Arabidopsis thaliana: one gene and its partners. The protein of the gene in region 1 interacts with the protein of each later gene in a biochemical or structural test. Each region holds a gene or a part of one and is shown in the gene's direction. Other genes may lie near its edges. The genes, in order: PHYA, PIL6, PTAC12 and JAR1.

Region 1 (7,155 bases):
ACTTTCTTCATGTCCTCCGGTGGTTCATCAAACTGAAGAAGAAGATGATCAGTCCTTGCAAAAGAGTGACAAAGATTGTTTTCCGTCATCTTCTTCTACTTCTTATACATAAGTAACCATTGACATTGTTTATTACAGTGACGATAACAGATTTTAAATGTTCTTTTTAATACGGAAGTTTTGGTGTAAAGAACCATTTTCTTTATTTTCGTATATAGATTATTGGCCTTGTTTCACACAAATACACACATTAAAAACCGAGAAAACACATGGTAATGAACAGTTGTTTTGAGAGTTCAATATCAAAAGAGTGAAAATGAAATAGCTCTCAAAGGGCGCCTTAAAGTTCCAAACCATCACATCCCTAGTGATTGAAGCGTTCTTGGCCGGCCATTAAGAAGTCTCCTAAGCTCATATTTGTTTTGTTCTTCAAAGTGTTATTCCTGAAATGGGATTAGTACCTTTTGCCAATTCAGATATGTGCAACATGGGCCATGACTATGTCTAATGGATGATACTGTGTTGCTAGGACAACATTTGCATTATGGAGGCACATTTTTGGTCCAACATAGCTGTGCCACAATATCTATGCTGAATTGCGCTGTCTAGATAAGACGTTGTCGATTCGATCTTCTCCGGAGATTTACTGCAAAAAACTTAGGGGGAGATTTAACTTTAAGAGGATAGAAGCAAAATACCTAAGAAAACATGGTAACGTGGATTTGCGATAAGAACGAATCGAAGTTTGACAATGATGTTAAAACGATATGGATTTTGTTTGACGAAAAAAAAATAAAACCTTAATAACGATTTTTTTACCCTTTTTATATAAAAAATAAAACAAATTTAAATTCTTCGAATAAACTTAAATTAGTTTTACAAATTTTATTACTTTCTTTCAACGATAAAAAAAAATACAAAAAAGGAAAGTCCCAACTTTGAAGTAAATCCCAGAAACAGATTACAAAACGCAAAAAGCCGAGAAAACGTGAAGCCCATAAGACTATCGTTGTCGTCTTCCTCAAAACCCAACTTTCTACTTCTGGTTACTGCCTTCATTAAACAACTACCACCATCTTTCTTTCTCTCTCTCTTTCTCGTTTTTTTATTTTATTAATAATCTTTTTTTTTTTTTTTACTTTTGATCTCTTATCCTTTGGACGATTCTCTTCAATCGGATTTATAAGAATCAACCCCATTTTGTTCTTCTTCCACTTTACTTCTTTTTTCCTCATTACACAGTCTTAGTCACATCGGTGAAAATATCAATTAATATTCCCCAGAAAGTTGCCAAGATTTACAAGTAGTAGTACTTGATATATCTTAAGCCCACTGTTCTGTTTTAGCGAGGAAAATGTTACCGGCGAAGCCGACCCTGTTCTTGATATGTGTGTGAAGTTTGTCTTTTATCCAAATTAAGCTTTTTTCTTCTTTTATTTTATTCCATTATAAAATATACAAATCGCCCATACTCCGAGACATGGGCATACGTATTCGGGGTGGTCCCATTCATCGTCGTCGTCTGTGTTAGGGAGCACAAATAATAGAGAGGCGTAGCACAAGAGAGAAGGTGGTGATCGAGGCCAAGATTTAGAATTTAACTATAACAAAAAGCCTCTGACGAGTGTGACTAGTCACAAGATCTGATCATGGCTTCTTGAAACTTCTTCTTCTTCTTTCTTCTCTTTAAAGGTACCTACTTTCCTTTTCCCAAAGTTTCCTCCTTTTTTTTCTTTTTTTAACTATATATATTGAAGCTTGCTTCGATTGATTTCTGCTGGGAGCTTACCAGCTAGCTACTGGTCTCACTCTTCTTACTGAAATTGATTCTAACTTTGAAGTTAATTTCTTAAAGCTATCCTCTGTTGTCATCAATACCCTCTTGTTTTCTGCGATATAAAGGTTTTGTAGGTCTCTTTCGATCTGGCTTGATGTGTGTTTGTTTTACTCAACTTTTTATAGTGTGTGATCATTTATGAGAAGAAGCATCCAATTAATTAATCTCATCCTTTTATCGCTTTTAACTCCTACGATTGCTTTCCCTGTGGGGACTTTATTGTTCCTTTTGAAAGGTATAGCTAGCTATAAAGACTCTTAAGAGTTTATTATTGAGTCTACTTTATGTATGTAGCTGTGTTTGAATCTTGAGAGGCTGATATTAGCTCAGATCCTCGTTTTGTTAGTATTTGTGTAGTGGATTTACCCTGTTAACTATCAACTATTATTTGTGCGACTTGTTCATAGTCAAGATGTTGTTGATTTTGGATTGTAGGATGACTTAGAAAGGAAGTGTTCATGGAATCTGACTGGTTCAGTTACTTTGAAAATGATAAATCATTGAACCTTGGAATATGACACGATGATTCCTGCATCTGTTGCGTCCTGTTTCTGGGTTTAGCTATGTATTCTCGATGGAGTTAGTCAAGTTCATAACTCTTTTTACTGTGTGTTTGAAATTCTGAATTGGTTCTTAGTGTTTCAAGTTTATGCTTATGCATTCGCTTGTATGACTGGTGATGAATGTTTTTGTGTTCATATGATTATGGCATGAATGTTTTATTCCCTCTTTTATCAGAGTTTTGCACTTATTTTTTGTTGTCTTGTCTCTGTGTCAGGAAAAAAATGTCAGGCTCTAGGCCGACTCAGTCCTCTGAGGGCTCAAGGCGATCAAGGCACAGCGCTAGGATCATTGCGCAGACCACTGTAGATGCGAAACTCCATGCTGATTTTGAGGAGTCAGGCAGCTCCTTTGATTACTCAACCTCAGTGCGTGTCACTGGCCCGGTTGTGGAGAATCAGCCACCAAGGTCTGACAAAGTTACCACGACTTATCTTCATCATATACAGAAGGGAAAGCTGATTCAGCCCTTCGGTTGTTTACTTGCCTTGGATGAGAAGACCTTCAAAGTTATTGCATACAGCGAGAATGCATCTGAGCTGTTGACAATGGCCAGTCATGCAGTTCCTAGTGTTGGCGAACACCCTGTTCTAGGCATTGGGACAGATATAAGGAGTCTTTTCACTGCTCCTAGTGCGTCTGCATTGCAGAAAGCCCTTGGATTTGGAGATGTCTCTCTTTTGAATCCCATTCTTGTGCACTGCAGGACTTCTGCAAAGCCCTTTTATGCGATTATCCACAGGGTTACAGGGAGCATCATCATCGACTTTGAACCCGTGAAGCCTTATGAAGTCCCCATGACAGCTGCTGGTGCCTTACAATCATACAAGCTCGCTGCCAAAGCAATCACTAGGCTGCAATCTTTACCCAGCGGGAGTATGGAAAGGCTTTGTGATACAATGGTTCAAGAGGTTTTTGAACTCACGGGGTATGACAGGGTGATGGCTTATAAGTTTCATGAAGATGATCACGGTGAGGTTGTCTCCGAGGTTACAAAACCTGGGCTGGAGCCTTATCTTGGGCTGCATTATCCTGCCACCGACATCCCTCAAGCAGCCCGTTTTCTGTTTATGAAGAACAAGGTCCGGATGATAGTTGATTGCAATGCAAAACATGCTAGGGTGCTTCAAGATGAAAAGCTTTCCTTTGACCTTACCTTGTGTGGCTCCACCCTTAGAGCACCGCACAGCTGCCATTTGCAGTACATGGCCAACATGGATTCAATTGCATCTCTGGTTATGGCGGTTGTAGTTAACGAGGAAGATGGAGAAGGGGATGCTCCTGATGCTACTACACAGCCTCAAAAGAGAAAGAGACTATGGGGTTTAGTGGTTTGTCACAATACGACTCCGAGGTTTGTTCCATTTCCTCTCAGGTATGCCTGTGAGTTTCTAGCTCAAGTGTTTGCCATACACGTCAATAAGGAGGTGGAACTCGATAACCAGATGGTGGAGAAGAACATTTTGCGCACGCAGACACTCTTGTGCGATATGCTGATGCGTGATGCTCCACTGGGTATTGTGTCGCAAAGCCCCAACATAATGGACCTTGTGAAATGTGATGGAGCAGCTCTCTTGTATAAAGACAAGATATGGAAACTGGGAACAACTCCAAGTGAGTTCCACCTGCAGGAGATAGCTTCATGGTTGTGTGAATACCACATGGATTCAACGGGTTTGAGCACTGATAGTTTGCATGACGCCGGGTTTCCTAGGGCTCTATCTCTCGGGGATTCGGTATGTGGGATGGCAGCTGTGAGGATATCATCGAAAGACATGATTTTCTGGTTCCGTTCTCATACCGCTGGTGAAGTGAGATGGGGAGGTGCGAAGCATGATCCAGATGATAGGGATGATGCAAGGAGAATGCACCCAAGGTCATCGTTCAAGGCTTTCCTTGAAGTGGTCAAGACAAGGAGTTTACCTTGGAAGGACTATGAGATGGATGCCATACACTCCTTGCAACTTATTTTGAGGAATGCTTTCAAGGATAGTGAAACTACTGATGTGAATACAAAGGTCATTTACTCGAAGCTAAATGATCTCAAAATTGATGGTATACAAGAACTAGAAGCTGTGACCAGTGAGATGGTTCGTTTAATTGAGACTGCTACGGTGCCAATATTGGCGGTTGATTCTGATGGACTGGTTAATGGTTGGAACACGAAAATTGCTGAGCTGACTGGTCTTTCGGTTGATGAAGCAATCGGGAAGCATTTCCTCACACTTGTTGAAGATTCTTCAGTGGAAATCGTTAAAAGGATGCTAGAGAACGCATTAGAAGGTAAACTCTCTTCCTAAGTTATGCTGAGTTTGCTAAGAATCTTCCAACTAGATTTCACTATTCAAGTTCCAATTGAGTATCGTGGTCGAAGAAACTTGATGCAATGTGTTGTTTTTGGTTCTTAATGATGGAATTTTGTTTTCCAATTTTATCAAACACTGAAGCCGAGTCTATAACTTCACTTGCTTATCTATGCAGGAACTGAGGAGCAGAATGTCCAGTTTGAGATCAAGACACATCTGTCCAGGGCTGATGCTGGGCCAATAAGTTTAGTTGTAAATGCATGCGCAAGTAGAGATCTCCATGAAAACGTGGTTGGGGTGTGTTTTGTAGCCCATGATCTTACTGGCCAGAAGACTGTGATGGACAAGTTTACGCGGATTGAAGGTGATTACAAGGCAATCATCCAAAATCCAAACCCGCTGATCCCGCCAATATTTGGTACCGATGAGTTTGGATGGTGCACAGAGTGGAATCCAGCAATGTCAAAGTTAACCGGTTTGAAGCGAGAGGAAGTGATTGACAAAATGCTCTTAGGAGAAGTATTTGGGACGCAGAAGTCATGTTGTCGTCTAAAGAATCAAGAAGCCTTTGTAAACCTTGGGATTGTGCTGAACAATGCTGTGACCAGTCAAGATCCAGAGAAAGTATCGTTTGCTTTCTTTACAAGAGGTGGCAAGTATGTGGAGTGTCTGTTGTGTGTGAGTAAGAAACTGGACAGGGAAGGTGTAGTGACAGGTGTCTTCTGTTTCCTGCAACTTGCCAGCCATGAGCTGCAGCAAGCGCTCCATGTTCAACGTTTAGCTGAGCGAACCGCAGTGAAGAGACTAAAGGCTCTAGCATACATAAAAAGACAGATCAGGAATCCGCTATCTGGGATCATGTTTACAAGGAAAATGATAGAGGGTACTGAATTAGGACCAGAGCAAAGACGGATTTTGCAAACTAGCGCGTTATGTCAGAAGCAACTAAGCAAGATCCTCGATGATTCGGATCTTGAAAGCATCATTGAAGGGTATGCTAGAATGAAAGTCCATTTAAAATATGGTTTATCTGTGTTCTTATGTTGGAATTTGACTGTGCAGATGCTTGGATTTGGAAATGAAAGAATTCACCTTAAATGAAGTGTTGACTGCTTCCACAAGTCAAGTAATGATGAAGAGTAACGGAAAGAGTGTTCGGATAACAAATGAGACCGGAGAAGAAGTAATGTCTGACACTTTGTATGGAGACAGTATTAGGCTTCAACAAGTCTTGGCAGATTTCATGCTGATGGCTGTAAACTTTACACCATCCGGAGGTCAGCTAACTGTTTCAGCTTCCCTGAGGAAGGATCAGCTCGGGCGTTCTGTGCATCTTGCTAATCTAGAGATCAGGTAAAATAGATATATTCATAATCAGAATGCATAATATGATGTTAAAAACAGTGCATTGAGGATATTGGGATTATGAAAACAGGTTAACGCATACCGGAGCTGGGATACCTGAGTTTTTACTAAACCAAATGTTTGGGACTGAGGAAGATGTGTCAGAAGAAGGATTGAGCTTAATGGTTAGCCGGAAACTGGTGAAGCTGATGAATGGAGATGTTCAGTACTTGAGACAAGCTGGGAAATCAAGTTTCATTATCACTGCGGAACTCGCTGCAGCAAACAAGTAGTCCCCAAAAGAAAAGGGGTCTGGCTTGATATAAAATAGTCACTGGTTGTTCTTTGCTTGTAACTTTCCTTATCGCTTTTGTTTTCGTTTTCAAATTTCAGTAACGATGAAATATCCATCCATTTACATCTTCTGTTGAACTCTTTTCTGAAGCTGTAAATATGGATGCATATCTAATCTCCTCCTGAGTGTTTTGGTTTCATGATGTATCATTCAAAATAAGTAATATAGGAGAAATGAGCTAATGTTTACGGTCCATGGTTTATCATAATGGCAGAAACTCAAACAAATATTCTATCTAGTTTCATATAATCTCCTTCTTTTAAGGTATTAGAGGTAATGCATGATTCGTGACTATGTTGCAAGAAGTCTTGGTTTCAAACAATTAGCTTTGGCTCAACTCCATGAAGAAGCAAACATAGTTCTTCGAACTTAACAGAGATCTATTAGCTGGCCATATGAAGTACACTTAGTTTTCTGTTAGAAGAAGCACATGGTGTGTGAAGTAAAAAATAAGTTATCATGTTAATTAAGTAATCAGTTTTATTAGACCCATACGTTAAGAGTCTCTCAAGTTGATTATTTTATCTGAAAAGTCAGATAAATTAGCTTACCTGTTTTGAAAGCTTTTAGATTAGATCAACCTCGACTTCTTACCTGTCTTTAGTCAACTTTGAACAAAAAATAATATGGATTATACAAGAAGACGAATACATGAGACTATGGAGCTCAAATGCACACTGAAGATCATCAGTTATTGTTCCTTTTTTATTACAGAAGACAAATCAAAGAAGATAAAAAGATCTTCCCTTTAG
Region 2 (5,351 bases), on another chromosome or scaffold:
TATTTCAGGAGTGCACAAAGAATATAAAAATATTTTGCAATCTTGACTAATAAAAGTTCTTCTATTCAATAATAACTTTCGAAATTTCTATTCTACAAGAAGTGAGATTTGAATATCCTTGTATGGACCTTCAGAGCTATAATCATCACAAGGTCGGCGGCGGGAGCAGATCGGAGAGACGGAAAAGGCGGAGAGGAAAAAGGCGAGCGGCGGAATTGAAATTCAGATTGAAAACTATAATATAACGAAGAACTTCATGATCCCCTCAGTTTTTGTTATTTCTTATCCACATACTTCTCCGCCGCTTCTAGCCTTTCATTCCTACCACCATCCGTCTACTTCCATCGCCGCCACCGCCGCCTGAATGTTTCAGAACGGTCTCTTATAGAGTTAGGGTTTTGACGTTTTGTTCGGCCCTTTTCTCTGATAAATTTGTATTTTTCGGACTAAACTGGGCCGTATCTTAGGCCCAATAACGCATCTCCACAACACAGTACAATATCTGTTATATGACATGACTTAAAACTTTTGGGCCTTTTCTGATAAATTCAATTTGCTAATGTCATTCTATTTAATGTGATGTTATCTTCATCCTATGAATATGCATATTCATAAATATTTAATGTATGTATATGGTTCCTTAATCAATGATGATTGATAGATTCGTTCCTTCGTCGAAATCTAATGTATATGCATAGAATTAATTCATATATCGGTTTAGAAGATGATGGAATTAATTATCCAACTAGGCGACGACTTATATGTCGACATGAGTTATAAATTCAAATACAACGACATCATTTGAGTCAAATGCAAACAAAAATTATAAGAAAAATAAAATAGCAATCGAAGGGTTTTGGGGTTTTATGATTTATGGCTGGCATCTGTGTAACCGTGTTCCTCTTTGCTTGATTGGGATAACAACGTTTTACATGTATCGTCCACGACGAACGAATCTATCTATCAACTTAATTCATCCAACTAGCAAATAGCAACTTGCATACAAAATAATTTATCAAAAAAAAAAAAAACTTGCATACGGAAGAAAAAGTGTTATTATTCAGCAATTTTCACTAAACTACTCATATTTAAATTCCATATTTTGCACTAAATTACTATTTCTATGGCTGGAAACAAAAACTGAGTTACTTGGCTCATGGCCTTCTATAGCCTTGAATGGACGCTATTACGACCTCGTCTCTTTCGTGGAAAAAGCAAATGAGGGCCAAAGACTTTTAAAGGGAAATGTCTCCTTTCGGTGGATGCTTTCTTCACAAATGCACCCACTATATATGTCTGTCTGTCTACTTGTAAGTTGCAATGTAATATATTCATGAATTTATCATACTAATAATATGTTTGTTTATCATTAGATCGGTAGGGGTTATGCACATTAAACGATAAGATTGATGTGATAAGGGTTAGAAACTGATCTACTGTTAAATTATTGTGATAAGGATCGGAAATTAATGTGATCATAATTTTGGTGGACCATTGTTTGTCTGTGGTCCATGACAAACAAGTCACAACGGTCCACGGTTTATTACGACATTGTGAATTTGTGATTGCATATTTAGGTTCAAAACTGTTATTAATATCCAAAATTTTGTGTATAATTAATAAATTCCAAATTCACAATCAACTAAAAGTTATATGTATAAACTTGCAGTTGTTTAGAGAATGATAATAACACAAAAACTTACGATGGTAGCTTTAACTAGTCAACACGTGAAATAAATGCGATGTGGAAATTTGCCGGGGGAAAAAATGATGACTTCTCAAGATTATTTCCGCTCGGGTTTTAATGAGACTCTGACATGAAATTGAATTCAGATGATTATAAAACGGTTCATATATTCATATAGTAGATGATGATATAAACTCATCGAAGCATCGTAGAAAATAGAGAACTTCAATTTGTTTTTTGTTTACCATTATTAGAGATACTATTCGCTGAAAGAGAAGCATAAGAGGGGTGTTATGATTTGACAAAAACACCCTTAATCATTGGTCAAGACTCAAAGAGTGTTGCAGATAAGGTACAGATCAGAAACCCACCTCTAGAAATCGAGCAATAGATCTCTCTCAACTTCACAGACAAAATCCAACCGAGTTGGTGGGTCTCACTAACTCTTTAACTAGTTGTCTGACAATTCGCCACGTGTCGGTCATCCTGATCAGTTTCAGTACTATTGCCCCCACCGAATCATTATCTCCCCCTCGCTCACTCGCTTACTTACCGTAATAATCTCTCTGCTTCCCTCCTCTAGCTCTTGTCCCTTTCTGTCTGAACCTGGCAAGAAGAACCTTAGCCTCTCTTTCTTCTTTCTCTCTCTCTCTCTCTGTGTTACTGTTCTGTTTCAACTTTACTCCCTCAGTTTCAGAACAATTCCCTATCTAGAAGAGAGATAAAACCGAGAAGGTTTTGGAGATAGAATCTTTTGTTCTTCTTTTGTCCCTCCTTGCTCGATTTTTGTTACGTGTGAAGCAATAAAAAAAAACTGATATAGCTAAATCTTCCATCCATTCAGAGGCTTCTAAATCTGGTAATTACTTTTATAGCTTCCCCTTAGTAAGAGTTTACTATATATAGAATTAGTTGCTTTATTAAATCATTTCCTCCTAGATTGTTGGAGAGGGTTGTTTGGTTTAATTATTTTCTAATCATTAAACTGTTGGGATTTCGAATAATCTTTTCTAAGTTGATTGCTTTCATCATCCTTTTTCCTCAAATCTCCTGTTAATCATTATACTAATTATGAATCAAATCATTTCTTATTCACTTACAAAAAAGTAATATATTCTTTATTTAAGTGTCTTTACAGATCTGACATGGAACAAGTGTTTGCTGATTGGAATTTTGAAGATAATTTTCACATGTCCACTAATAAAAGATCAATCAGGTATATATCAATTTTCCAATTCAAGTATTTCATAATTATATACCAATTTCACATCTTAATCATAGCTATTTAAGTATTGTTTGTTTAAAATATGTTTGTAAACATTCATATGTTGGGACAGACCAGAAGATGAATTAGTGGAGCTATTGTGGAGAGATGGTCAAGTGGTTTTACAAAGCCAAGCTCGTAGAGAACCGTCAGTCCAAGTCCAAACCCACAAACAAGAAACCCTAAGAAAACCCAACAATATTTTTCTTGACAACCAAGAAACAGTACAAAAGCCTAACTACGCTGCTCTAGATGATCAAGAAACCGTCTCCTGGATACAATACCCTCCGGATGACGTCATCGACCCTTTCGAATCCGAGTTCTCCTCTCATTTCTTCTCTTCGATCGATCACCTCGGAGGTCCTGAGAAGCCACGAACGATCGAAGAGACAGTTAAGCATGAGGCTCAAGCCATGGCTCCTCCTAAGTTTAGATCCTCGGTTATAACAGTCGGACCGAGTCATTGCGGCAGCAACCAGTCAACAAATATTCATCAGGCCACTACACTTCCGGTTTCTATGAGTGATAGAAGCAAGAACGTCGAAGAAAGACTTGACACTTCGTCAGGTGGCTCCTCCGGTTGCAGCTATGGAAGGAACAACAAAGAAACCGTTAGTGGAACAAGTGTAACCATTGACCGTAAAAGAAAACATGTTATGGATGCTGATCAAGAATCTGTGTCTCAATCAGATATAGGTTTGACCTCAACCGATGATCAAACCATGGGTAACAAATCGAGCCAACGGTCAGGATCTACTCGAAGAAGCCGTGCAGCTGAAGTTCATAATCTCTCAGAAAGGGTATACATATACTATTTCTGACTAGTTGATCAACCATTCAGTAATAATAATTCTGATGTGATCTTTGTCTATTAATTACAGAGGAGGAGAGATCGGATCAATGAAAGAATGAAAGCTCTTCAAGAACTCATACCTCACTGCAGCAGAGTAAGTTTTTTCATCACAAAAAAACTGAGTTAATTAAGCTGTAATTGATTGGTGTGTTTAAATATGGTTTTGTCTTCTTCTTTTTTTGTGTAGACAGATAAAGCTTCGATATTGGATGAAGCAATTGATTACTTAAAATCACTTCAAATGCAACTCCAAGTGATGTGGATGGGAAGTGGAATGGCGGCGGCGGCAGCAGCAGCAGCAAGTCCGATGATGTTTCCCGGGGTACAATCATCTCCATACATTAATCAGATGGCTATGCAAAGTCAGATGCAATTGTCTCAATTCCCGGTTATGAACCGGTCCGCTCCGCAGAACCATCCCGGTTTAGTATGTCAAAACCCGGTACAGTTGCAGCTCCAAGCACAGAACCAAATCTTATCGGAGCAGCTCGCTAGGTACATGGGCGGGATTCCCCAGATGCCGCCGGCGGGAAATCAGGTCAGTTGCAGACGGCATCGTTTTGAAGAAAGACAAATATATTTATTTAATATCTGACGTGTCATGTTTTAAATTAGATGCAGACCGTGCAACAACAACCAGCGGACATGTTGGGATTTGGATCTCCGGCGGGACCGCAAAGTCAACTGTCGGCACCGGCGACCACCGACAGTCTTCATATGGGTAAAATAGGCTGACTTGGCATATAGTTTTCCTCCGAAATTATTCTTCTTACAGTTGGTGATTGTTATTTATTTTTGGTCGCCTAAGCAAGCATAAAAGCTAAGTCAAATGTATTATAGAGATCTAATAAGTTAGTCTCATACTTATAACTTATTTTTAAACAGTTGAATTATAGTATCAATCAAGTGTTGGGAACCTAAAGATCATACATGTGTCAATACTTTTATATTTGTTCTCAAGGTTCATCAGAAAAACAAAATAAAAAGGATAGACTAGGCCTGCATTTGACATTATCATGGGCTTTTTTGGGTCTATGAATATGAACATTAACCCATATTACTGCTCAAAACGCATACGTTATACAAAAAACGGAAAACGCTAACGTGGTTTACTCCACCACGATTCGTACGTAACGACTAGCGAGTCCCATACCTACTCGATTTTTAGTTTCCTCAAGTTAACGGTGAAATCAAATTACCGATTATGTCCTTCTAAAGTGACACGTGTCTTACAAGAGGAGCGAGTTTATCCTAATCACATACTCGAGCGTGTAGGTTTCCGATTAAAGCGAAGCAGAAAAAAATTACTAAAATAATAAAAACGTATAGAATGTGATTAATTAAGTCAACCAATAAGCATCTTACAAATCAGCACTCTGAAAACAAACACGATTATTAATAGAAAAAGCTGCGACCCGACTCCTGAGCCTCTCTCTTTCTATCGCTCTTTGATTTTGTTTCTCATTGTTTTGCTTCAAATTACGCATTCGAATCTGATCTTCGTTGATCTCTGTGGAAGAAACAGATAAGAGAAAATCGCATGAATT
Region 3 (5,009 bases), on another chromosome or scaffold:
TAACATTTAACAAAAGTGTATTACAAGTAAATAAAGAATAAACTTTTTAAGTTACGAATGGTAAAAAACTAAAGAAATTTGTTAGTTCTCTGTTTGTATGCATGCATTGTCTCTCTGCTAAAATGTTCATGACAAGTCCACATCTACTCAAATACTCATCGAGGTGATTATCCTCGTCGTCGCTTTTATACACATGTAATATTACACACATCTATACATGGAGTATATTTTTAGCGAACGGATAGGTGCCATGTGGAGGTAAGTACACGTCGCCACTTGTGAGATTCTGTTCCAATTACTTGTGGAAGTGAATTATGTCGCAGAAAAAGTTTGACGAGATTTCCAATTAGCCACTCATTTATTAACGGTCACCAAAAGCATCAAATTACAGTTTTTTTTAGTGCTTTGAGATTCTTTTCCCTGACATATTGTTTTATGTAAAATAGCAAACTCGAAAAGATAGTAATAGTATCCAAATTATTATTATTACAGTATTATTTTTGATAAAAGGTTGTTATTCTTTTTTTATTTTTTTATTTATTGTATCTATTATATAATTCGAAACTGCTATATTGTTTGTCTTTAGTTTGCATCTCTAGCTTTATATATGCTTATGAAGTTTCAAATGTTGCTATTATATGCTGCTGATTCTTTTTTTCTTATGTAGGAGTATAGGTTTGACCGTTTGACAATACGAGAGGAAGAGGAAGTTGGGAAAAAACGACGCCGCATGGATAGTCTCGCTCGTTGCACGAATAGTTCAAAAGGTGACGTTAGGCGCGTGCGGGTCAGCGAAACTTGTGCCTAGTCAGACCTTTGTGGTATAGTCTTACGTGGTCTACGTCTGCCAAATTTCAGAAAACCAAAAAAACAATTATATGTTTGGTCCCTAGAAATAAATATTATCGTCGTTTAGCAAGTTTGAAGTAAGCAATAGTAGTATTAATGTATAAAAAGTGTAGGATATTAGGTTAAAATAGGCCTGTGATAGATACCGTAATGTCTATGATGTGTCTGGTCAGACCCATTTAATATTGGTTCAGACCATATTAGCACATTAGCCAATTGCCATTCACGTTGGGTCCAAACCTTCTTCCTTCTATAGTGTCTTAGACAAGTACGTACACACGCTGAAGTACAAATCATATACAAGTATTTATTCACTTAAAGGTACAATGATTGATGTTTTTTGTGTAACATGTTCCTCTAGTCCACTATATTAATCCATTACGGAGAGAACTATCTAAAAATTGTATAATCGCAATTGTAAATTGCAAATCTATTAACAAAACTAAGATGTGTTCACATGCATACTTCGATAAACATTCTTCCATATATCTTTTGTGTTAAGGCATGTTTTAAATGATCAAATCACATATTGATTTTATTTGAAAGTATATCAATATAATAAACTGTTTAGAAGATGTTTTGCCAAAAAAGAAAAAGATGTTTTGTTCTTCTTGGAAGTGTTTGTTAAAGCCCAAGAGAGACTTCAAGCTCACAATTTCTCAAAGATCCATTAATACTGGGCCTTAGTTAGATATACCAAGCCCATATACTTTCTCTTCACAAATTCCCGTTCTAATACCGGCGCGTCGTGAAATCTAGAGATTTTGCCGTCACCAGAATATGTTAATAAACGCAGGAGGAGATAAATGGATAAACCCAAAAACTGACAAGTGAAAACCTTTTGAAGCCAAAACCCCCTTCAAAATCAAGCTCCATGATAGAAAACCCTCTTCCTACATAATCTCCTGGTAAAACAAAAAGGTTAGTCTTTTTCTCCTCAACTTCGAGTGTGAAGCGTTTGTAAAAATGCCCAAAAAAATCGTACCTTGTTATGGACAATTTGTTGTATCAGGTTCTTCTTATCTGGGTTTTATGTTTTGTACTAGTTTGAAACTGATTCTGAGCATAATTGAATCGGTTGTTTTTGTAAATGATACAGTGAGAAGTAGAAAGAGTGTAAATGGCGTCAATATCAACCACCACCTGGCTCTACCGAGGTCAAGTATGCACAGACAGTGGAAAGTCCAGTAATTGTATTGTGCAGGTTGGTTCTTACACATCAAGTTTCTTGTTCTGATCCAAACTTATCTAATTTAGAGATAGTGAACATTTTAGCTTGTTTCAAGATGTCAAACTGGTAAAAGTTTGTTTATGTATGTAGAGACGGGTTAAATGTGGGTTTCCACTCAAGACATTGCATGCTGGGATTACTTCTAGGGATCGGTCTTTGCGACATTGTATCAAATGCAAGAAAGAGGATGGAGATGGTGATGTAAGTGAAGGGTCTAAGAAGAGTGAAGAAGGATTTGAGTATGTGACTGTTGAGAGGCATCCTTACCATAGTTATATGGATTCAACTTCTGGGAAGCTTGAGCCAGCGTCCGGGGCTCGGGCTAGTATTCCAGGTGAGGATTATTGGCCTGAAGGAACTTCGAGCCGGGTTAGAGCTGCTAGAGCTCCTCAACCAGCTGGTGAGTCTTCGAGTTTTCCTTCCTATGGAAAGAATCCTGGAAGTAGGAGAAAGAAGAATAGGAAAGCTACTGAGGAGAATGTGACTGTTGAAACGAATGACGAAGTATCCGATTCTGAGGATAGCTCTGAAGAAGAGGAAAATGATTCCTCGGATGGGTTTGTTACCTATAAGAATGAATTTGAGAGAGAAGAAGAGGAGACTGGTTTTGAATTAGACAAAAAGCTTGGAAGGCCACATCCTTTCATTGATCCTACGAAAAAGAAACAAATTGAAAAGACACTCACGAGCGATGAATCGTGGTGGAACTGGAGGAAACCGGAGAAAGAACAATGGTCAAGATGGCAAAGAAGACGTCCTGATGTTGAAACGGTTAGTCATCACAATGATTTCAGGTTTAAACATGTGTGTGTTTCCCCAATGTTTGATCCATTATGGTATTTTTTTTTGTTGTTGATGCAGGTTTTCCTCAAGGCAATGGCAGAAACAGGACAAGTGAAGCTCTATGGGGAAGAACCAACACTCACAGAAACTTCTCTTTATAGAGCAAGAAGGCATCTTTTCAAGGAAGAGAGGTATATTGATCTAACGAACTTTCAAGTGAAAATCTGTTTTATTAGGATTTTCTTTCGAGTTTTCTTTCTCTCAGGCTGCAAGCTGAGCGAGAGAGATTAGCGAAAGAAGGTCCAATGGCTTTTTATTCTGAATGGGTTAAAGCATGGAAGAGAGACACGTCAAGAGAAGCTGTACAAAAACATTTTGAAGAGACAGGTGAAGATGAAAACACACAACTGATTGAGATGTTCTCTCATCAAACAGATAGAGAATACCGGATAATGATGGGAACTGATATTAGGATCAAGAGAGATCCATTGGCAATGCGGATGAGGGAGGATCAAATTAAGCAAAGTAAGAAACTTTGACCGTTGAAGTTTGAACTAACTCATCATGGATATTCAATCGTTCGACTAACATTCTCGGTTTCTTGCAGTTTGGGGCGGGGATCCAGTTTACCCGACAATTAACTACATTCAAGATCCTAATGCGGTTATGGATTTCAGAGGACCTGATTTTCATGAGCCTACACCAAATATGCTCTCTTATCTAAAGGAGGTTAGTCTGCTTTGCTCAAAGTTCTATTCTTTTTCTTTCTTGGTCTGATTGTTTTCTTTGTTTCTGATTTGATCAGAATGGCAAAGTCATCTCAAGAGAGATGCATGAAGCACTACTGACAAAAGAGAAAACCGAGCAGCTCGAGGTAAAGTGACCAATCTTTCATTTCCTTTGACACAACTCTGATTGTGAGATTTCAGGGTTTCGCTTGATATGTTCGATAAATTGTATGAATGCAGGTACCTGACATGGATGATGCAATGGCACAAGCTGTTGATATTGGTGAAAACGATGTGAGTATCATCGATTACATCAGATCCTCTTCTTCTTTATTGTTTCTTGATGTATCATGCTCTGAAACATCTCCGGACATTTTTTGACAGGACGACGAAGACGATGCAGATGTAGAAAAAGACGACGAGAAAGTGCCGAGGAACTGGAGTGTCTTGAAGGAAACCCCTGAGCTTCGCACCGCCAAGGTAAAGTCACATTCAACTTGAGCCACATTATATGTCTTGTGTGGTGTGTTGATGTTATGAGCTTGGTTTCTTAAACAGCCTAAACCAAAGAAGGAAGGTCGGATGTCTCTAGACGAGGCCGTGGATGATGCTGAGAACTTAACTGATTTTCTCATGGACTTTGAAGAGGAGACTGATCCTTAAACCTGGTTTTCGTATTTCTTATGTAAAGACGTTATTTAGGGCAACTTTTTCTTCACTGGTTTTGCTTGTATACTTGGAAGGGATGATATCATTTAGGAGTGGATTTGAGTTTTGCAAGTGATTTGTATCATATGGAATTCAAATATTTTTGATTGAATTTATAGAGTTTTGAAAGTGATTTGTTAACTGTACTGCATCCTGTTTAGTTCAGCTTGAGACGGTTTAATCTGTTAAAACAAGACCTAAACCGAATTCGCAAGGAATATGATTTCACAATTAGTATCTGTCTCCTTTTTTTGTCATGTGTAGTTTAAAACCAAAGCCACAGCTTGTCAAACATTATTGTTTCGTGAAACGAATTGGACCAACAAAATCCTACAAATGAAATGAGGAATGTTTTGGTGTATAGAGAGAAACATTACTTAATCTCACTTGTTTCTGGTGATGACTCTATGGGTCAAGTCAATAAGTGCCCGCCTCGATCTTTTGACATCTTCATTGTCTGTTTCAGGTAGAGACCCGATTGCAGCTGCTGCTAGATTCGCATGTTCCATGGCTAATTCTCTTGCCCTCTGTATTCCCTTGCTCTTCCCAAGATACTCTAAAGCCTGTGTGATATAATAGTATTAGAGACTATGAAAACATATTATAGATTTTAGGAGATTTGTTTCTTTCAAACTTACAATGTCAACATTCCTAGGATCTTTTTCAACTTGATCAACAACTTCGCGTAGTTGAGGAAACTCTTCCATGGC
Region 4 (5,194 bases), on another chromosome or scaffold:
CGGGTGTAGTGGAACCCACTCAAAAAAATCAGGCAACTTTCGTAATTTAATGAAACATTTGGGGGCGAAAATAAGGAAAACGTAAAGGATGTGACCGACAAATTATTTAGAGCCGAGACGTAATTGAATTGGACGGCACTGCCACGTGTAAGCACGAAACTCACTTGGGTCACAGTACATGCGGATCCAGAGGATCTTTTATACTAATCCAATTAGACTCATCCACGTGTCAAATTAGTTAAATTTAAGTTTTTTTTAGTCCGAAATTAAAGTTAGAATATTAAATTAATTTCCACACACAATCGTTTTTCTTAGTTATTTTACAACTAGCTAGTATAAACGATAACCAAAATGGATGACATCAAAATAATTAATTAGGCCAAAAATAATAATATCAGCAGTCAATAATAAAATTGTGTATGCATGTGTCATGGTACCATTGTTTCTTAAGCTCAAAACATTTATGATGAGCATGGAGGAATATGTGATTTATGTTGACTTGTCATGCATGTATACAATTTATAGCTTCTTCAGTCAACAAAAAAAATTGAAAATGTTAACTTCTCTAAAAGGAGCTTTTCCACAGATTTCAATCAGTTCATGATTTTCTCGATATAAAGTAGGCATGAAATTGACGAATGAAAATGTATGAATTGAAGAAACTATATAATGAAAAACAAGAATCATCAATAAAAATCAAATGTTTCTTACATAGTTTTTTTTTCTTCTTCAAGGAAATCAACTATGTTTTGTTTTTTTATACAATCAGATCATTAGATTAATCGTATGTTTTTGTAACTTAACTTATGTTGATCAGCTTCATTAAAATGAGAGTTTATTCTTGTAAACAAAAAAGTTAGTTGTGATGACTAATATGCGTTTCCGAAACGAAACCCTAAACCCTGCAATAGAAAAGGGATTGTTGAACTTAATTTGTTTTGTGCACGAGAAGATGGATGAAACAGAATTGTTAACCAAAAATCTTATGAACCTAATTCCAAAAATCTTATGAACCTCACAGACTTTGAGAATCGTTTAAATGACTAATGTAAAGATGTGCAAGCAACTGATATGAAGAATTGTTAACCATATATTGTGATATCTCATATTTGTATATATATTTGATATATACAAATATGTTTGTTCCAAATTTTGTTACAAACTACACAGCCAAATATAAGAAGCTATCAAATATTATTTCTTTAGCAAGTTTGAATTAATCAAACGCAGGTCATTATAAATTAAATCATAACAGGTGGTATAAAAACAACGTATTTTGTTAAATTTAAGTGATTGTAGTCTTAGAATTATATATAGGTCTTTTGTTAGAGATGAATAGTTGATTTCTGATGTATTTCCTAGTATTACATCATTAACGCAATGACCATATATAATGATATAGACAACGATGACAGAGAGGTGACTAAGTTAACATGTTATGATCCTCGTCTGAATAAACTAGAAGACTAGCCGCATGAAAATTCTTAGTTAACAAAAAATGATGTTGTCTATATGTATATCTACTACTAATATCATGAACCCAAATTACTCAAGAATTAAAGAAATAATATTCCTAACACAAGTTGGCTTTTCGTAAACTAAACTTACGGTATTGTTTTATGCATCGATCATAATGAATATTTTAAAACACTAAAACATGGTTAAAAAAAAAAGTAATCCACATGCGATTGTTTTGGATTGGTCCTTTTAAATAAACTAAAGTTTTGGCAGAGAGGAACCAAGTAAAAATGGGCATTATCTAAGAATGGTCCTAATTCCAAGAAGATATTACACTCTTTTACAGATTGGACCCAAACACTCATGTGAAGATGAAAAAATAAACTAAGAATACAAAAAGAAGAAAATAAAAGAAAAAATCAGAGATCCCGTCGGAGAAAGAAAAAGAGAAGATAGAGAGATACAAGTAACGGCTTCCACTAATCTTTCGCCTTCTACATTTTTGCTGCTCCGTCCAATTTTTGTGTCTATAAAATAAGACAGCTTCTTTCTCTTGACTTTCCAAATTCACTCAACTTTCTCTCACTCCTTTTTTCTCTCTCTCTCTCTATCCTCTACAGAGCTCGCAGCAACTAGCGCAGGTACTCTCTCTTTCTCACTCCTTAATCTAGATACTAAAGCTGATCATTTTCATATCTCTCAGTAATCCGTTTCGTCTGATCGGGTAAAACACACTTCCAATTACTCCGGTTCCGACCTCGTTGACTTTTTCTTCAGATAGATTCCAAAAAAGTTCTCATCTTTACTTGTTCAATCTCATAGATTCCGATTTGGGTCTGATTGTTACCTCTCCACAACTATTGGGTTCCTCTCAAAACCCTTCGATTTCTTGATCCATCCTTCCTTAATTTTCGATTCTCGAAAACCGTTTTCACAACTTTTTTTTATAAAAAAAAAAATCTGCAAAAAGATCTCTCTGATAAGAATTTTTAAAAACTTTCCCTTTATGGATGCTCTGAAACATAAAAGAGCTTTTAAGTTTATACCTTCCCTTATATTCTCTGTTTTCAAATCTGTCAGAATCTGATCACTCTTTTCTTTTTATCTACTTCAGGATGTTGGAGAAGGTTGAAACTTTCGACATGAACAGAGTCATTGATGAATTCGATGAAATGACTAGAAACGCTCATCAAGTCCAGAAACAAACTTTGAAAGAGATTCTTCTCAAGAACCAATCCGCCATTTACTTACAAAACTGTGGTCTCAATGGAAACGCTACTGACCCTGAAGAAGCTTTCAAATCTATGGTTCCTTTAGTCACTGATGTTGAATTAGAGCCTTACATCAAAAGAATGGTTGATGGTGACACTTCACCTATTCTCACTGGTCACCCTGTTCCTGCCATTTCCTTAAGGTAACTTCCTCTTTTTGCTTTATCATTGATGATTCTGTTTCTCAGTGTGTGTGTTTTTGATCATCAGCTCTGGAACTAGTCAAGGCCGTCCAAAGTTTATTCCTTTCACTGATGAATTAATGGAGAACACATTGCAACTGTTTCGCACTGCTTTTGCCTTCAGAAACAGGTATAGTTTAAATTTGTGTTTATGTTTCCCCCACACACATTTCACACTTTTCTCTGTTCCATCCATTGACATGAACAGAGAAACTAGTGATGTTGTTACTTACCACCGACTATGCCTTAACATGTGATGTTTTTCTTCTTGTACAGAGATTTTCCCATTGATGACAATGGCAAAGCTTTGCAATTTATCTTCAGCAGCAAGCAGTACATATCAACGGGAGGTGTCCCGGTTGGAACCGCAACCACAAACGTGTACCGCAACCCTAACTTCAAAGCTGGGATGAAATCTATAACGTCTCCTTCCTGTAGTCCCGACGAAGTTATCTTTAGTCCTGATGTCCATCAAGCCTTGTATTGCCATCTCTTATCCGGAATTCTCTTCAGAGATCAAGTTCAATACGTCTTTGCCGTCTTTGCTCACGGTCTAGTTCACGCTTTTAGAACCTTTGAACAGGTTTGGGAAGAGATTGTTACCGATATCAAAGATGGTGTCTTAAGCAACCGTATTACTGTCCCATCGGTCCGTACTGCAATGTCGAAGCTGCTCACACCTAACCCTGAGCTAGCTGAGACGATCCGCACCAAATGTATGAGTTTGAGCAACTGGTACGGATTGATTCCCGCGCTCTTCCCCAACGCAAAGTATGTTTACGGGATCATGACTGGCTCCATGGAGCCGTATGTGCCAAAGCTGAGACATTACGCGGGTGATCTACCTCTTGTGAGCCATGACTACGGTAGCTCGGAAGGATGGATTGCTGCTAATGTTACCCCAAGGTTATCTCCAGAGGAAGCTACATTTGCTGTGATTCCGAATCTCGGTTATTTCGAGTTTCTCCCTGTATCTGAAACAGGGGAAGGAGAGGAGAAACCGGTTGGTTTAACTCAAGTCAAGATTGGAGAAGAGTATGAAGTTGTCATCACAAATTACGCAGGTATTACCGTTGTTTTAAGGCTGGAATTAGCGTAGTATCGGTCTCGTAATGGATGCTTATAATTCTCATTTGATCCACATTGCACAGGGTTGTATCGATACCGGCTTGGAGATGTGGTAAAGGTCATTGGTTTCTACAACAACACTCCCCAACTAAAATTCATATGCAGGAGAAACCTGATTCTCTCGATCAACATCGACAAGAACACCGAAAGAGACCTTCAGCTTTCAGTAGAATCGGCTGCAAAGAGACTCTCAGAAGAAAAGATCGAGGTCATAGACTTCTCTAGCTACATCGATGTCTCGACAGATCCAGGACATTACGCTATCTTCTGGGAGATTTCAGGAGAAACAAACGAAGACGTTCTTCAAGATTGCTGCAACTGTTTAGACCGAGCATTCATCGATGCGGGTTACGTTAGTTCCCGGAAATGCAAGACTATTGGAGCCTTGGAGCTGAGAGTTGTCGCAAAAGGAACTTTCCGGAAGATTCAAGAACATTTTCTCGGGCTTGGTTCATCGGCTGGACAGTTTAAGATGCCAAGATGTGTGAAGCCAAGTAATGCTAAGGTTCTCCAAATTCTGTGTGAGAATGTGGTGAGTAGCTACTTCAGCACAGCGTTTTGACTCACTAAAATTGTGTGAAATCAAAGAAAGTGGTTTTTAGTTGTTTATTTCCGTCGTTGTTGTCTTTATTTGTCAATATAGTTTTCTTTACGTTATTTAATTGAGCATAAACTTTTTTTATCTTTATAGAATTTGTATCACAGTGGTTTTACTTTGCTTTTTGTGCAATTAGTGTTTGGGAAATAAATAGATTTCTGATGTGACGTTACCTTTATTATACTTGGAACAAAAAAATCAAGATTCGAATAATTGATTGTCTGTATGGAGAATAAAATTCGGATAATCTAATCTATCTCGATCTGACCTGAACCATATTGTGAAAATATTGTTTTATATTACGATATTCGAAACAATAATGTACGTGTTCGACAATTGAATTTTGGTGCTTCTCTCAAAAACAAGAAGAGATCATAAACAATTAAAAATTTAGAGATCATAAACTCTCTAAATACTTTGCCAAAACAAAAAAAAAACTCTCTAAATATAGATAGTGGTGTGATTTTGTGTGAGAAGCTATACGTGACTACGACATTATTAGTGCGACCGATGTTTATTTAGAGAGTTCTAATTACGAAAAAGTAATCATAGATCTA

The links.
Region 2: of the proteins of PHYA (region 1) and PIL6, one has a biochemical effect on the other in vitro, tested with the Arabidopsis thaliana proteins (one study listed by BioGRID).
Region 3: the proteins of PHYA (region 1) and PTAC12 form a complex in vitro, tested with the Arabidopsis thaliana proteins (one study listed by BioGRID).
Region 4: the proteins of PHYA (region 1) and JAR1 form a complex in vitro, tested with the Arabidopsis thaliana proteins (one study listed by BioGRID).

Annotation. Positions count from the first base shown.
Region 1 is NC_003070.9:3,094,684-3,101,838, reverse strand, and holds PHYA (phytochrome A), read left to right. Parts: upstream 1-2,008; 5' UTR 2,009-2,411; coding exon 2,412-2,416; intron 2,417-2,615; coding exon 2,616-4,681; intron 4,682-4,879; coding exon 4,880-5,696; intron 5,697-5,766; coding exon 5,767-6,057; intron 6,058-6,139; coding exon 6,140-6,341; 3' UTR 6,342-6,636; downstream 6,637-7,155. UniProt on the Arabidopsis thaliana protein: Regulatory photoreceptor which exists in two forms that are reversibly interconvertible by light: the Pr form that absorbs maximally in the red region of the spectrum and the Pfr form that absorbs maximally in the far-red region.
Region 2 is NC_003074.8:21,827,377-21,832,727, reverse strand, and holds PIL6 (phytochrome interacting factor 3-like 6), read left to right. Parts: upstream 1-1,890; 5' UTR 1,891-2,546; exon of another isoform or gene 2,547-2,825; 5' UTR 2,826-2,832; coding exon 2,833-2,903; intron 2,904-3,024; coding exon 3,025-3,751; intron 3,752-3,832; coding exon 3,833-3,898; intron 3,899-3,991; coding exon 3,992-4,342; intron 4,343-4,419; coding exon 4,420-4,539; 3' UTR 4,540-4,823; downstream 4,824-5,351. Other genes in the region: AT3G59070 (Cytochrome b561/ferric reductase transmembrane with DOMON related domain-containing protein), read left to right, coding at 170-364. UniProt on the Arabidopsis thaliana protein: Transcription factor acting negatively in the phytochrome B signaling pathway to promote the shade-avoidance response. Regulates PHYB abundance at the post-transcriptional level, possibly via the ubiquitin-proteasome pathway.
Region 3 is NC_003071.7:14,581,306-14,586,314, reverse strand, and holds PTAC12 (plastid transcriptionally active 12), read left to right. Parts: upstream 1-1,517; 5' UTR 1,518-1,770; intron 1,771-1,948; 5' UTR 1,949-1,969; coding exon 1,970-2,053; intron 2,054-2,170; coding exon 2,171-2,851; intron 2,852-2,941; coding exon 2,942-3,054; intron 3,055-3,128; coding exon 3,129-3,388; intron 3,389-3,470; coding exon 3,471-3,592; intron 3,593-3,668; coding exon 3,669-3,737; intron 3,738-3,831; coding exon 3,832-3,885; intron 3,886-3,975; coding exon 3,976-4,071; intron 4,072-4,149; coding exon 4,150-4,254; 3' UTR 4,255-4,480; downstream 4,481-5,009. Other genes in the region: GPS1 (geranyl diphosphate synthase 1), read right to left, coding at 4,683-4,862, 4,938-5,009. UniProt on the Arabidopsis thaliana protein: Involved in plastid gene expression. Acidic transcriptional coactivator necessary for the transactivation of many PIFs target genes (class B genes), particularly during the regulation of hypocotyl growth.
Region 4 is NC_003071.7:19,031,769-19,036,962, forward strand, and holds JAR1 (Auxin-responsive GH3 family protein), read left to right. Parts: upstream 1-1,972; 5' UTR 1,973-2,464; coding exon 2,465-2,496; intron 2,497-2,572; coding exon 2,573-2,872; intron 2,873-2,939; coding exon 2,940-3,041; intron 3,042-3,187; coding exon 3,188-3,975; intron 3,976-4,062; coding exon 4,063-4,601; 3' UTR 4,602-4,677; downstream 4,678-5,194. UniProt on the Arabidopsis thaliana protein: Catalyzes the synthesis of jasmonates-amino acid conjugates by adenylation; can use Ile and, in vitro at least, Val, Leu and Phe as conjugating amino acids on jasmonic acid (JA) and 9,10-dihydro-JA substrates, and to a lower extent, on 3-oxo-2-(2Z-pentenyl)-cyclopentane-1-butyric acid (OPC-4) and 12-hydroxy-JA (12-OH-JA).